Linked DNA regions of Callithrix jacchus. The protein of the gene in region 3 interacts with the protein of the main gene of each other region in a pairwise test. Links are inferred from orthologs where the notes say so. Each region holds a gene or a part of one and is shown on either strand. Other genes may lie near its edges. The genes, in order: KRT18, NEFL and NME7.

Evidence for each region.
Region 1: the proteins of NME7 (region 3) and KRT18 interact in binary tests that used the Homo sapiens proteins (3 or more experiments, as listed by UniProt). The two-hybrid records come from large-scale screens. The link is inferred for Callithrix jacchus from reciprocal best matches to the Homo sapiens genes NME7 and KRT18.
Region 2: the proteins of NME7 (region 3) and NEFL interact in binary tests that used the Homo sapiens proteins (3 or more experiments, as listed by UniProt). The two-hybrid records come from large-scale screens. The link is inferred for Callithrix jacchus from reciprocal best matches to the Homo sapiens genes NME7 and NEFL.

What each region holds. Positions count from the first base shown.
Region 1 is NC_133510.1:66,605,258-66,609,007, forward strand, and holds the start of KRT18 (keratin, type I cytoskeletal 18), read right to left. Parts: upstream 2,759-3,750; 5' UTR 2,712-2,758; coding exon 2,295-2,711; intron 1,558-2,294; coding exon 1,475-1,557; intron 807-1,474; coding exon 650-806; intron 51-649; coding exon 1-50. UniProt on the Homo sapiens protein: Involved in the uptake of thrombin-antithrombin complexes by hepatic cells. When phosphorylated, plays a role in filament reorganization. Involved in the delivery of mutated CFTR to the plasma membrane.
Region 2 is NC_133514.1:16,530,206-16,533,942, forward strand, and holds the start of NEFL (neurofilament light polypeptide), read left to right. Parts: upstream 1-815; 5' UTR 816-915; coding exon 916-1,962; intron 1,963-3,076; coding exon 3,077-3,201; intron 3,202-3,591; coding exon 3,592-3,737. UniProt on the Homo sapiens protein: Neurofilaments usually contain three intermediate filament proteins: NEFL, NEFM, and NEFH which are involved in the maintenance of neuronal caliber.
Region 3 is NC_133519.1:33,151,110-33,154,759, forward strand, and holds part of NME7 (nucleoside diphosphate kinase homolog 7), read left to right. Parts: intron 1-87; coding exon 88-254; intron 255-3,650. UniProt on the Homo sapiens protein: Possesses an intrinsic kinase activity. Displays 3'-5' exonuclease activity with a preference for single-stranded DNA. Does not seem to have nucleoside diphosphate kinase activity.

The DNA.
Region 1 (3,750 bases), on a different chromosome or scaffold from region 3:
TCCACGGTCAATCCAGAGCTGGCAATCTGGGCTTGTAGGCCATTTACTTCCTAAAGGTGACAGGGGCAAAAGTGCAGAGGTCTCAGGGTCAGGGCTCCAATAAGGCCTTTCCTCTGTGACTGCCTCTTCTAGAAGGCCCATAGGATCAGCTGGAGAAGAGACCGGGAGAAGCCCTGGGCTTGTACTCAGAGCAATACTAGTTCTGGCCTTTCTGCTCCAGTGCATAGAAATGCCACTGGGTAGAAATGGTTTCTCCAGTGGGTAGAAATGATGGTTTCTCACTGTCCCTTCATCCACCCTCCCCTTCACAAACCTGCTCCTTCTACCATCTTTTAGGAAGCCCTGCCAAGTCCACCTGCTCTCATTCCTCCATCACCCCCAGCTCCTGGTGATGAGTAGCTGCTTCTATGTTTGTTCTCATCTCCTCTCATCCATATTATTTTGACCTGTAATTCAGGTAAGCCACAGAGTTTATTTGACCCCCTGAGAATGCTCTTTATCAGAACAGTCTTGTTAAGAAGAGCCCAGGCTGCTATTTCTAAGCTTCTTGGCAAGGCCACTTGGAAGTGGCTTGTCCTGTCTATTCTCCCACCTAGACTGACTTGTCTTGGCCCCTCGGTTCCTGGCTTGGCCAGTGGCCCCCGCTTGCCTCTTCATGGTTCTTCTTCATGAAGAGCAGCTCCTCCTTGAGAGCCTCGATCTCTGTCTCCAGCTGCAGCCGAGTGACATTGGTGTCATCGATGACCTTTCGGAGACCATGGATGTCGCTCTCCACAGACTGGCGCATGGCCAGCTCTGTCTCATACCTGTAGGAGTACAGGTGATCAGAGGGGCCCCTATCTCTGACCTTCTTAACACACACCACCTATTAAGAGCAGTTCTGTGCCCACTGCAAACCAGCAACTTGAGTCAGCAATCAGGTGGTAGTGCCTTGAGCACCATTCTTGGCACTTGGAGGACAATGTTCTTAAACAGGGTTATACAAATGATTAGTTAGGCTGGGCATGGTGGCTCTTCCCTGTAATTCCAGCACTTTGGGAGGCTGAGGCGGGTGGATCACCTGAGGTCAGGAGTTTGAGACCAGCCTAGCCAACATAGTGAAACCGTCTCTACTAAAAATATAAAAATTACCTCGGTGTAGTAGCACGTGCCTGTAGCCCCAGCTACTCAGGAGGTTGAGGCAGGAGAATCACTTAAACTTGGGAGGCAGAGGTTGCCATGAGCCAAGTTAACACCACTGCACTCCAGCCTGGGAGACAGAGTAAGACTCTGTCTTGAAAAACAAAAACAAAAACAAAGAAACTACACACACACACACACACACAATTCAATAGTTAAATGAATACACTGATTGACTCTCATCCACCCACATCTGAACAGGATCCCACTGTGAGCCCCTACCTGACCTAGCCAGGGGAGCATACCCTTCTTAGCTCCATCCCCAGACCCCCAGCTCCCTAGCCCCTCAACTTACTTGACTCTAAAGTCATCAGCAGCAAGACGAGCATTGTCAATCTGCAGAACGATGCGGGCATTGTCCACAGTATTTGAGAAGATCTGGGGGAATTGTTGAGAGAGATTGCTCCATGAATGCAAAGTCAGTGATGGGTGGGCTGAGTGTGTGAAAAGTGTTATGTGTCCTAGTGAAAACTTCCTAGTGCCAGGAATCGCCAGAGGCTCTCTTTGAACACCTGTCCATTTTCATCTTAGCCCCACCCCATTCCCTCCTTTCCTGGACTCCTTTCCTAGATCCCAACACTCTGCCCCTCTTGGGAAGACTCAGCAGTCTGGCTAGATGGCTGGCCCGCCTGCCCGGAAGTGAGCCACTACTAAAAAGTCCTATCCCTGGCCCTCTCCTGGCATTTTTTCCCTAGTGCACCTGCTCACTCTGGGCCCCCTACACCCTGGATCGGCCCCACCCAAAGAAAGGCCCCATGTTTACTCTTAGATGATTCAGCCATAGCCACATCCGCTTAACCCTCCAATAGTCCCCACGCGGCCAGAAGCCAGTGTCTCCTCCTGTTTACAGGCCTTTCCTCACCTCCCTCCATGCTGTCCACTTCTCCGTAAAGCTCAGCCCTGTCCCCTTCCCCCGCTCTCCTGGGGAAGAGCCCTCCCATGCCTAGCTTCTGCTCCTGGGGAGCCTGTGGCTAGGAGCCTGGTTGGAAATCCTGGAATTTCCCGGTGGAGTAGGGGCTGGGGTGGACATGGAATGAGGGAAAGAGGCAGAGGAGTGTATAACTGGAGGATCAGACATGGCTGGGAGTTGAGGTCTCTCCCACCACTCCCCTTACCTGAGCCCTCAGGTCCTCGATGGTCTTGAAGTAATGGCCCCAGTCTCTGACTTGGGGTCCCTTCTTCTCCAGGTGCTCCCGGATTTTGATCTCCAGCTTCCGGTTCTCGGTCTCCAGGCTCCTGACTCTGTCCAGGTAGGAGGCCAGGCGGTCGTTCAGGATTTGCATGGTCTCCTTCTCGTTCTGGATGCCTCCCATTCCTGCCAGACCCCTGGCCATCCCCGCGGCCAGGCCCCCGACCCCCATGCCGCTCCGGACGCTGGTGGAGCGCGTCACGGAGACGCGGGAACCAGAGCCCCCGGCGCCTGCATAGACGCTGGCCGCGCTGCTGACCGGCCGGGCGCCATAGCTGGGCACCCGGACGGAGCCCACGGACCGGTAGTTGGTGGAAAAGGAGGAGCGGGTGGTGAAGCTCATGCTGCCCGGGGAAGAGAGCGAGAGGACAGGACTCAGGCTTCGCAGACGAAGGTGGCGGCCGGCGCGACCCGAGTTATATCCAGAGTGAGGCCCCGCCCCCGCCCCGCCGCTTGGGAGCCCGAGCCACAGGTGGACGGTGCAGGAGCCGTGCTCTCCGCCCCGGGCCACTCCCCCGCGCTGCCCTGCCAAGCCCCCCCCTCCACCCCCCAGAGACGGGGTGGCCAACCGGGTGCTGACTGGGACAGCAGGTGTTGTTGGCCCTCGAGGCTGCTTTCGGGGCAGGAAATGACGCTATTATGCCCTTCTCCCCCACGTGGAGGAGGTGCTGGCGGGTTTGAAATTTGGGGGTCTGGTGGTGTGCGGGTGGAATGGCCTGTGAGTCCCTCTAGCTGTCCTCAGCCTGCAGCCCAAGTTATCCACCTGTGGAGGGGATCTTAGGGGGCATCCTGGAGCCCCAGGAGTCGCGGGAAAGAAAGGCTGGGAGGAGGAGAAGAGGAGGAGAAGCAGTGCGGAGCCTCACAGCTGCTGGTTAACGCACACCCCAGCGGCACCTGGCTCCCAAACACTCCCGCCTGCCCATGTTTCGTCGCACACACTCACACCCGAATCATACAGAGGTGTGCTCTCAAATGCGCGCGCGCACACGTTCACTCACCAGATAGGTGCAGACTGCCTGAAACAACCCCAGTCTCTGAGCCCCCTCCGCCGACCTCACTCCCTTGCCTCGCCTCAGTGGAACGGGTCCTCACTTCTGCACACCTGTATATCACCTTTCCTGCATCCTTGGTCAAACAAATCCTGAGCATTTACAATTTGACAAGTATGTATTCAGAACCTACTGTACACCAGGCCCAGTTCTAGGAGCTGGGAGAGGAAAGGGTGGTGACAGAAGAGATGAAAATCTCTCATGGAGGTGGTAATGTGTCCCATCTTGCATGGGACCTGAGAGGCACTCCTAGGACGTTCTTAGCAGCAACCCAGCCCTGGGGGCCAGTGCCCCTCACCTCTTTACTAGGACTTTTCTGCAGGCTGGTCCTTG
Region 2 (3,737 bases), on a different chromosome or scaffold from region 3:
GCAACACGTTAAAAGCATCCGCGGCTTCTTCATTCCCAGTAAAGAAATGTGAAAATCTAGAAACACTAACAGTCGGATCAACTGCTTTAAAGGTTTGGAAATGCTAAACCAACACCTGCAGTAGTGCCGCAGTTTCACGTGTGTGTGTGTGTGTGTGTGTGTGTGCGCGCGCGCGCGTCCGCACATTCCCTGTGTGTTGAGAAGCAGCACATTAAAGAAAAAGAAAAATAACGAGGAAAAAGGAAGATGAATTGCAGAAAGTGCCAGAAATAGCTATAAAGAAATTAAAACTCTTCTCCATACATACCGCAGACACACAACCTAACCTATTTATTTGTACCTAAAATCCCCTAGCGGCACCGTCACCATAAACACCAAGGGGGATCGTTAAAGAGGTCCCTGGTGGGAAAAGGGCGAGTTGGGGGCGGGGGCGGCAGGGTGTCCACGAGGTGCCGGGATACGGAAAACTAGGGTGTCAAAAGAGAGCAATAACCTGTTTTGGGGACACTTAAGGATCCAAGTGATAAGGGGTCTGGGCGGTGCAGGATGGTGGGGGGTGCGTGGGTGGATACAGAAGGGAAATGAGTGAGGGTGCATGGAATCTCAGAGAAAATCAAGGGCCTCTGAGCAGAGTGTAAAGGACGAGCGCCGCAGCTCCCCTGCCCGCCGCTCGCCCCCGCCTTCCCTTTTGCGCAGAATCCTCGCCTTGGCTGCAGCAGCGCGCTGCCCCCACCGGCCGGCGCGCCGCGATCGATCGCAGGCTGCGTCAGGATCCTCCCGGCGTATAAATAGGGGTGGCAGGACGGCGCCGAGCCGCACACAGCCATCCATCCTTCCCCTTCCCTCACTCCCCTGTCCTTCTCTCTCTCCAGGCTCCCGCCGCCGCCGCGGGCTGGGGAGCCACCGGCCGCCACCATGAGTTCCTTCAGCTTCGAGCCGTACTACTCGACCTCCTACAAGCGGCGCTACGTGGAGACGCCCCGGGTGCACATCTCCAGCGTGCGCAGCGGCTACAGCACCGCGCGCTCCGCTTACTCCAGCTACTCGGCGCCGGTTTCTTCCTCGCTGTCCGTGCGCCGCAGCTACTCGTCCAGCTCCGGCTCGTTGATGCACAGCCTGGAGAACCTCGATCTGAGCCAGGTAGCCGCCATCAGCAACGACCTCAAGTCGATCCGCACGCAGGAGAAGGCGCAGCTCCAGGACCTCAACGACCGCTTCGCCAGCTTCATCGAGCGCGTGCATGAGCTGGAGCAGCAGAACAAGGTCCTGGAAGCGGAGCTGCTGGTGCTGCGCCAGAAGCACTCGGAGCCGTCCCGCTTCCGGGCGCTGTACGAGCAGGAGATCCGCGACCTGCGCCTGGCGGCGGAAGACGCCACCAACGAGAAGCAGGCGCTCCAGGGAGAGCGCGAAGGACTCGAGGAGACCCTACGCAACCTGCAGGCGCGCTATGAAGAGGAGGTGCTGAGCCGCGAGGACGCCGAGGGCAGGCTGATGGAAGCGCGCAAAGGCGCTGACGAGGCGGCGCTTGCCCGCGCGGAGCTCGAAAAGCGCATCGACAGCCTGATGGACGAAATCGCTTTTCTGAAGAAAGTGCACGAAGAGGAGATCGCCGAGCTGCAAGCGCAGATCCAGTACGCGCAGATCTCCGTGGAGATGGACGTGTCCACCAAGCCCGACCTCTCCGCCGCGCTCAAGGACATCCGCGCTCAGTACGAGAAGCTGGCAGCCAAGAACATGCAGAACGCCGAGGAGTGGTTCAAGAGCCGCTTCACCGTCCTGACCGAGAGCGCCGCCAAGAACACCGACGCCGTGCGCGCCGCCAAGGACGAGGTGTCCGAGAGCCGCCGCCTGCTCAAGGCCAAGACCCTGGAGATCGAAGCATGCCGGGGCATGAACGAAGCGCTGGAGAAGCAGCTGCAGGAGCTGGAGGACAAGCAAAACGCAGACATCAGCGCTATGCAGGTGCGGCACCGCCCGAAACACAGGGGGGCGGAGGACTAGAGCACGGGGGAGAGTTGGTGCGCCCAGAAAGTGGGGACCAGGGGTGGTGCGGCTGCTGGCAGCTCTTGGGGATAAGGCTTGGCTCTTGGGCGCCTGTGTGGGCGGGGTGGGGCACTTGGAGGGCGTGAGCAAGGGCGCCACTGTAGTCTGGGAATGTGCTCCGTGCAGCTGCACCCGAGTTCCGCATTAAAGCTGCCCAGCCCGTGTTGGGTGGGGGAGGGGAAGATGTGGGAACTGGGCGTTGCCTGGGGCCTGCGGTGAAATTTCCTCTCTACTGACCTGTATTAACCACCAGTTACTTCGCAGCAAATATCAGATCATCTGGTTAATAAATAGTAGAGTGAATAACTCCCAATTAATTCTGAAAGGTTACGGTGACAAGCATGCTTTATGACTAGTTATACCAACCACTCCCTTCCTTTATTTAGTAGGTAGACAGGAAAATAGTTAACGTTGTTTTAGGCAGTTAACTAGGATGTTCATTTCTTTTTACTCTTTTCTTTTTCTTTGTGCAACATTTCTATTTAAAACATCTCCATCTTCTGGGAAGTAGAAAAAGTAAAATTTTAAAAAGATCTCTATTTTAAAAGATCCCCATCTTCTGGGGAGTAGAATTTTTTTTTTCTTCTGGGGAATAGAAAAATGATTTAGATACATAGGAAATATTTTAGAGAGAATAATTTTTTTCTCGTCTGGCTATTTTCTTCTGTACAGAAAGGCATTAGTTTCTTGGCATGTAACCCAGCTAAAGAAGATTTAATCAGTGGGTGAGAAACAGTTTTTCTATCATCTTAGTTTCCTTGCAGGCATTTTCTGATGATCATTAAGCTGTATTAAGTAAAGAAATAGAAGAAAAGAATTTTCTTCCATTTTGTTTGTCATCTCAGGCTTCATGAACTTGGCTATTTTAGGCAAGAAGGTTTTTAAAAAAATACAGGAAATTATTCTAGGGGAGATTTTATCAAAGGTGTGCACCTCGATTTTAATTGAAACTAGGCCTTTACAACTACACTACAGTAAAGTAATAGAAGATATTTATGCTTGGATATATTTTTTTTTTTTTGTCTTCAAACAGGACACGATCAACAAATTAGAAAATGAATTGAGGACCACAAAGAGTGAAATGGCACGATACCTAAAAGAATACCAAGACCTCCTCAATGTGAAGATGGCTTTGGATATTGAGATTGCAGCTTACAGGTGAAAATAGAGGGGCAGAGACAGCAGCCATTAAACCTTAGGAAGAAAATCAGATCCCAATTAAAGTTATGTTGGATCAGAAACCTTCAAGAATAGTCCTTTGAAATAATGAAATGTTAGTTTTTTGCTTCTTCCAAGAAGGTATTTAGATATATAAGAATTTAACCCTGTAATTAGGAGTCTTGTTTTTAGCTTCCCATTACCTTTTAAATCTGACAGGACGATTTCATGTGTTCCTGTTGTTGGTTTCTGGTCTCCATCACAAAATCCCCAGGCATTAAGTTTTGATAAATCCCAGCCCTGCTCCTGCTTCCCTTAGCCTTTAGGGTGCTCAGAGCAAGTTGTGAAACACAGGTTTCTTTTAACCTCACCTTCCATCTGCATCCCCAGGAAACTCTTGGAAGGCGAGGAGACCCGGCTCAGTTTCACCAGCGTGGGAAGCATAACCAGTGGCTATTCCCAGAGCTCCCAGGTCTTTGGCCGATCTGCCTATGGCGGTTTACAGACCAGCTCCTATCTGATGTCCGCCCGCTCCT
Region 3 (3,650 bases):
AGACAGGATTAAGAAATATTTCTACCTTATAAGATTAACTTTATTAATAATTTTTTTTGTTCATTATATTGTTGTTTCTGGTTCTAGCATGATGTAAAGAATCATCGTACCTTTTTAAAGCGGACCAAATATGATAACCTGCACTTGGAAGATTTATTTATAGGCAACAAAGTGAATGTCTTTTCTCGACAGTTGGTATTAATTGACTATGGAGATCAATATACAGCTCGCCAGCTGGGAAGTAGGAAAGAAAAGTAAGAAAATAATTATGTATTCTTTTTCCATTCTCTGACTTTAAGCCCAAAGTCAGGCAGAATTAAGACTGGGAGGTTTAACCATAATGAGGACAAATAGGACCTGGAAAATGGTTGTCTTCATTCTTTCTTTTTCTTTTCTTTTTAATTGAAAAATAATTGATAATATCATAGTTGTTTATGTCTCATCTGACTTAATCATATTTATGTCTCCTGTGGCACTTAGCACGTCTCCTTCCATAATGCAAGCACCTTCTCTGTATTAGCTGAATGAATTCATAAATCACAATTTAAAAATCTATTATTTATTCTTTCCTTTTTCCATTTTCTCCCTGTTTTCAAATGATGATCTTTGATATAGTTGACCAGGAAGATTTTGTCTAGATTGTTTGTAACTAATGCTGTCTGTTCTTGAGCTTTATTAACAGACATATATATCTAAGAAATGTTGATCAACTGATCAATTGAAAAATGACAATATGAGTGTTGTAAAAAGGAAAAAGGAAAGAAACCATATAAAGAAATTGTGATACTGGGAGACTGATCTGTCTTGTTTGTAACTGTATCTCTAAAAACTGTTATAGCGATACCTCAAACAGTAAATTATTCAGAGTGTGACCCACAAAAGTTTGTTAAATAAATGAGTGAATAAATTGATGTCATCGAAATGTCTGGAGTATGGTATGTCAAAGGAAGGGTTTCCCAATGGCTGGCATCCCGCCTCCTTCTCTTCCTCCCACTGCATGTGGCTCATTCTATGAAAGACAAACTGTAGCATGATGCCTCCACCTGTGTCTCTATTCTCTCTATTGTTTGTCAAAACTGCATTTATCATTCATTTTCTCAGTTTTGATTTAGAAGAGATACAGTCATCTGTAAAAGGGGTTAAGAAAAAAATTAGAAGAGAGAACAATTTGAAGATGCAATTGAAAGTTAGACTTACAGAAAACTAGGACTTTTGATAATGTTTTTCTTCCGAATATTGATTTTCAATATTAGCACAATGGCATTTTAATTTTCAGTCTCTGCATTTATGAGTTTCCAGTTTCTAAGACTAGAATTAATTATATTTGAAATGAAATTTTAATTCCTTTGTCATCTTTCTTGGCTCTGATTGCTGTAGCTTATATTTTATATGGTTTGGGGAGATTTTTTTTTCCTGCAGAGTGATTGGTATTGTAACTAAAAATAGGGATTATTAGTAGAAGTTAAGACTGTATGTATAAAAGGCTCCAAAAATGACTTAATTCAATAGGGAAAACAAATCAATCAAACTGTTTTTTGAAATCTACTACTCAAATGATTAGCTGATTGCATAGCATCTGAGTCACTCTCATAATAACATGGTATCTCTTTCTGTGACTTCCATAGTCTTTCTATACAAGCACTTTATAATTCTTGAGGTGACTGGATTCTCAGTGTGGCTGTTAGTACACAAATGGTGTTAGTACACAAATGGATCAGAGGGGTGGTGAATGCCTCATAAAAAAGGAAGACCAAAGACTCCCTTTGAAATAGGACAAACATTTCAGATATTAAATAAGGATCTTTTAATGTTATGAGATCTTATGTAAAAGTCTATGGGATTAAGGAAATGCCAACCATAATTCCTTTATTTAAAACTAATAAATATATGTAGCATTCGTTTATGGAGCACATACTATATGCCAGTCATTACAATACTCACTTTACATACACCTCAGTTCAAGACTACTTTATTTTATTATTATTATTTTTGAGACAGGGTCTGCTGGCTCTGTCACTCAGGCTGAAGTGAAGTGGCATGATCATAGCTCACTGTAGCCTTGACTTCCCAGGCTCAAGTGATCCTCCCAGGTCAGTCTCCTGGGTAGGTGAATCTACAGCCCTGCACCACTATGCCTGGCTAATTTTTTGGTGTTTTGGTAGAAATGCAGTTTTGCCATCTTGCTTACGCTGGAAGACTACTTTAAATATTTAAACTAGCAAAATAAGTGACTTAGGGAGGCAGGGTTAAGAGTCTGACCTAATAAAAATAAAATAGCCATTAAAATTATAATTTACATATTTTAATTCTGATTTGACAGAAGTGAATGTTGTTAAATCTATTTTATAGAATGGGTAAGTAACTTGTCTGTAGTCACACAGCTAGAAAGTAAAGGGAAATTGTATTTTTTGTCTAAAATTCATTCTCTTTCTACTAAACCTCTAATTAATAGGGCAGGTGCTGTTGAATGGGACTGATTTGAAAACAGGAGGAACGGAAGAATTCTATTTTAATATGAAGACAAATTTGAAGTATTTGGGCTTCATATAGTTAATGAAAATATATACAGTATATATTTTACTAACTCAAATTGATTCACCATCTTCTCTTCTTACTCTTTCTTAACTCCATATGGGTTAGAAAATCCAGCAGCCCTTTGGGTGATTTAAATAAATTTCTTCGAAACCCAAGAGTTTCAAAAATGTATTGTTTTATTTAAATGGCAAAAAGTAAAGATATGAAAATATATGTATATGTCTGTCAGCATTCTACAGAAACACCTTCTGTATAATAACTGATTTAGTCTAGTTCTCAGTTTTGTATAGTGTTGAGGAAAATTTATGAACGAATTACACTTTAGTCTTTTGTTTCTGTAATAAAGCTGGTAGTGAGGATGATCAGTGAAATTGATCCCATGGAGCTAACTGAGGAGCAGTTATCCAGATAATTTAATATAATTCAATTTAACTCATGAACTAGCTTCAGCTTTCCAATTCCCTTCGACTGTAGAAATCTGACATTTGGTTCACATTTCTATCCTCTCTATATAAAGATCCTCTAATCACATGGATGAAGGTTACAAGTTGTCAATGAGTCAGTCTTTGATTTTAATTTTAGCTAGTAATCAATTGATGCTTTATGACTCTGTTGTTTAGTTGTAGAGACACAATACAATTTGTGTCTTTCTAAAAATTTATTACCTCAAACCAGAAATAATTAAAAAGTTTTCATATGAAGAGTCAATATATATATGTATGTGTGTACATGAATGATAGAGGAATTTTATATGACAAGGAAGCTATTCCCCATATGATAAATGAGGTATTAAATGTTTACTTTGGTAGCTTTATAGCTATAGTAAGAAGTTTATAAAAATTAATGAAAAATAATGCCAGTATCCTATTTAAGAATTCATTAATTTTAAGTACTGAGCCACATATTTACATTCAGCAGTCCCATTCCTTTTGAATCTCAGCCGGAAAGCAAACCATCTAATCAAATGAAAGGGAGAAAGGTGAACAACATTATAGTAAATGCTAAATACATGAGATTCTTGAGCCCATCTTTTAACTTTCAGTGAAAGGAAGACCCTGCTATTTTTTAGAAGAAAAATTATGAAGTCAACTCTATTTATAATCTGTGATCCCAAG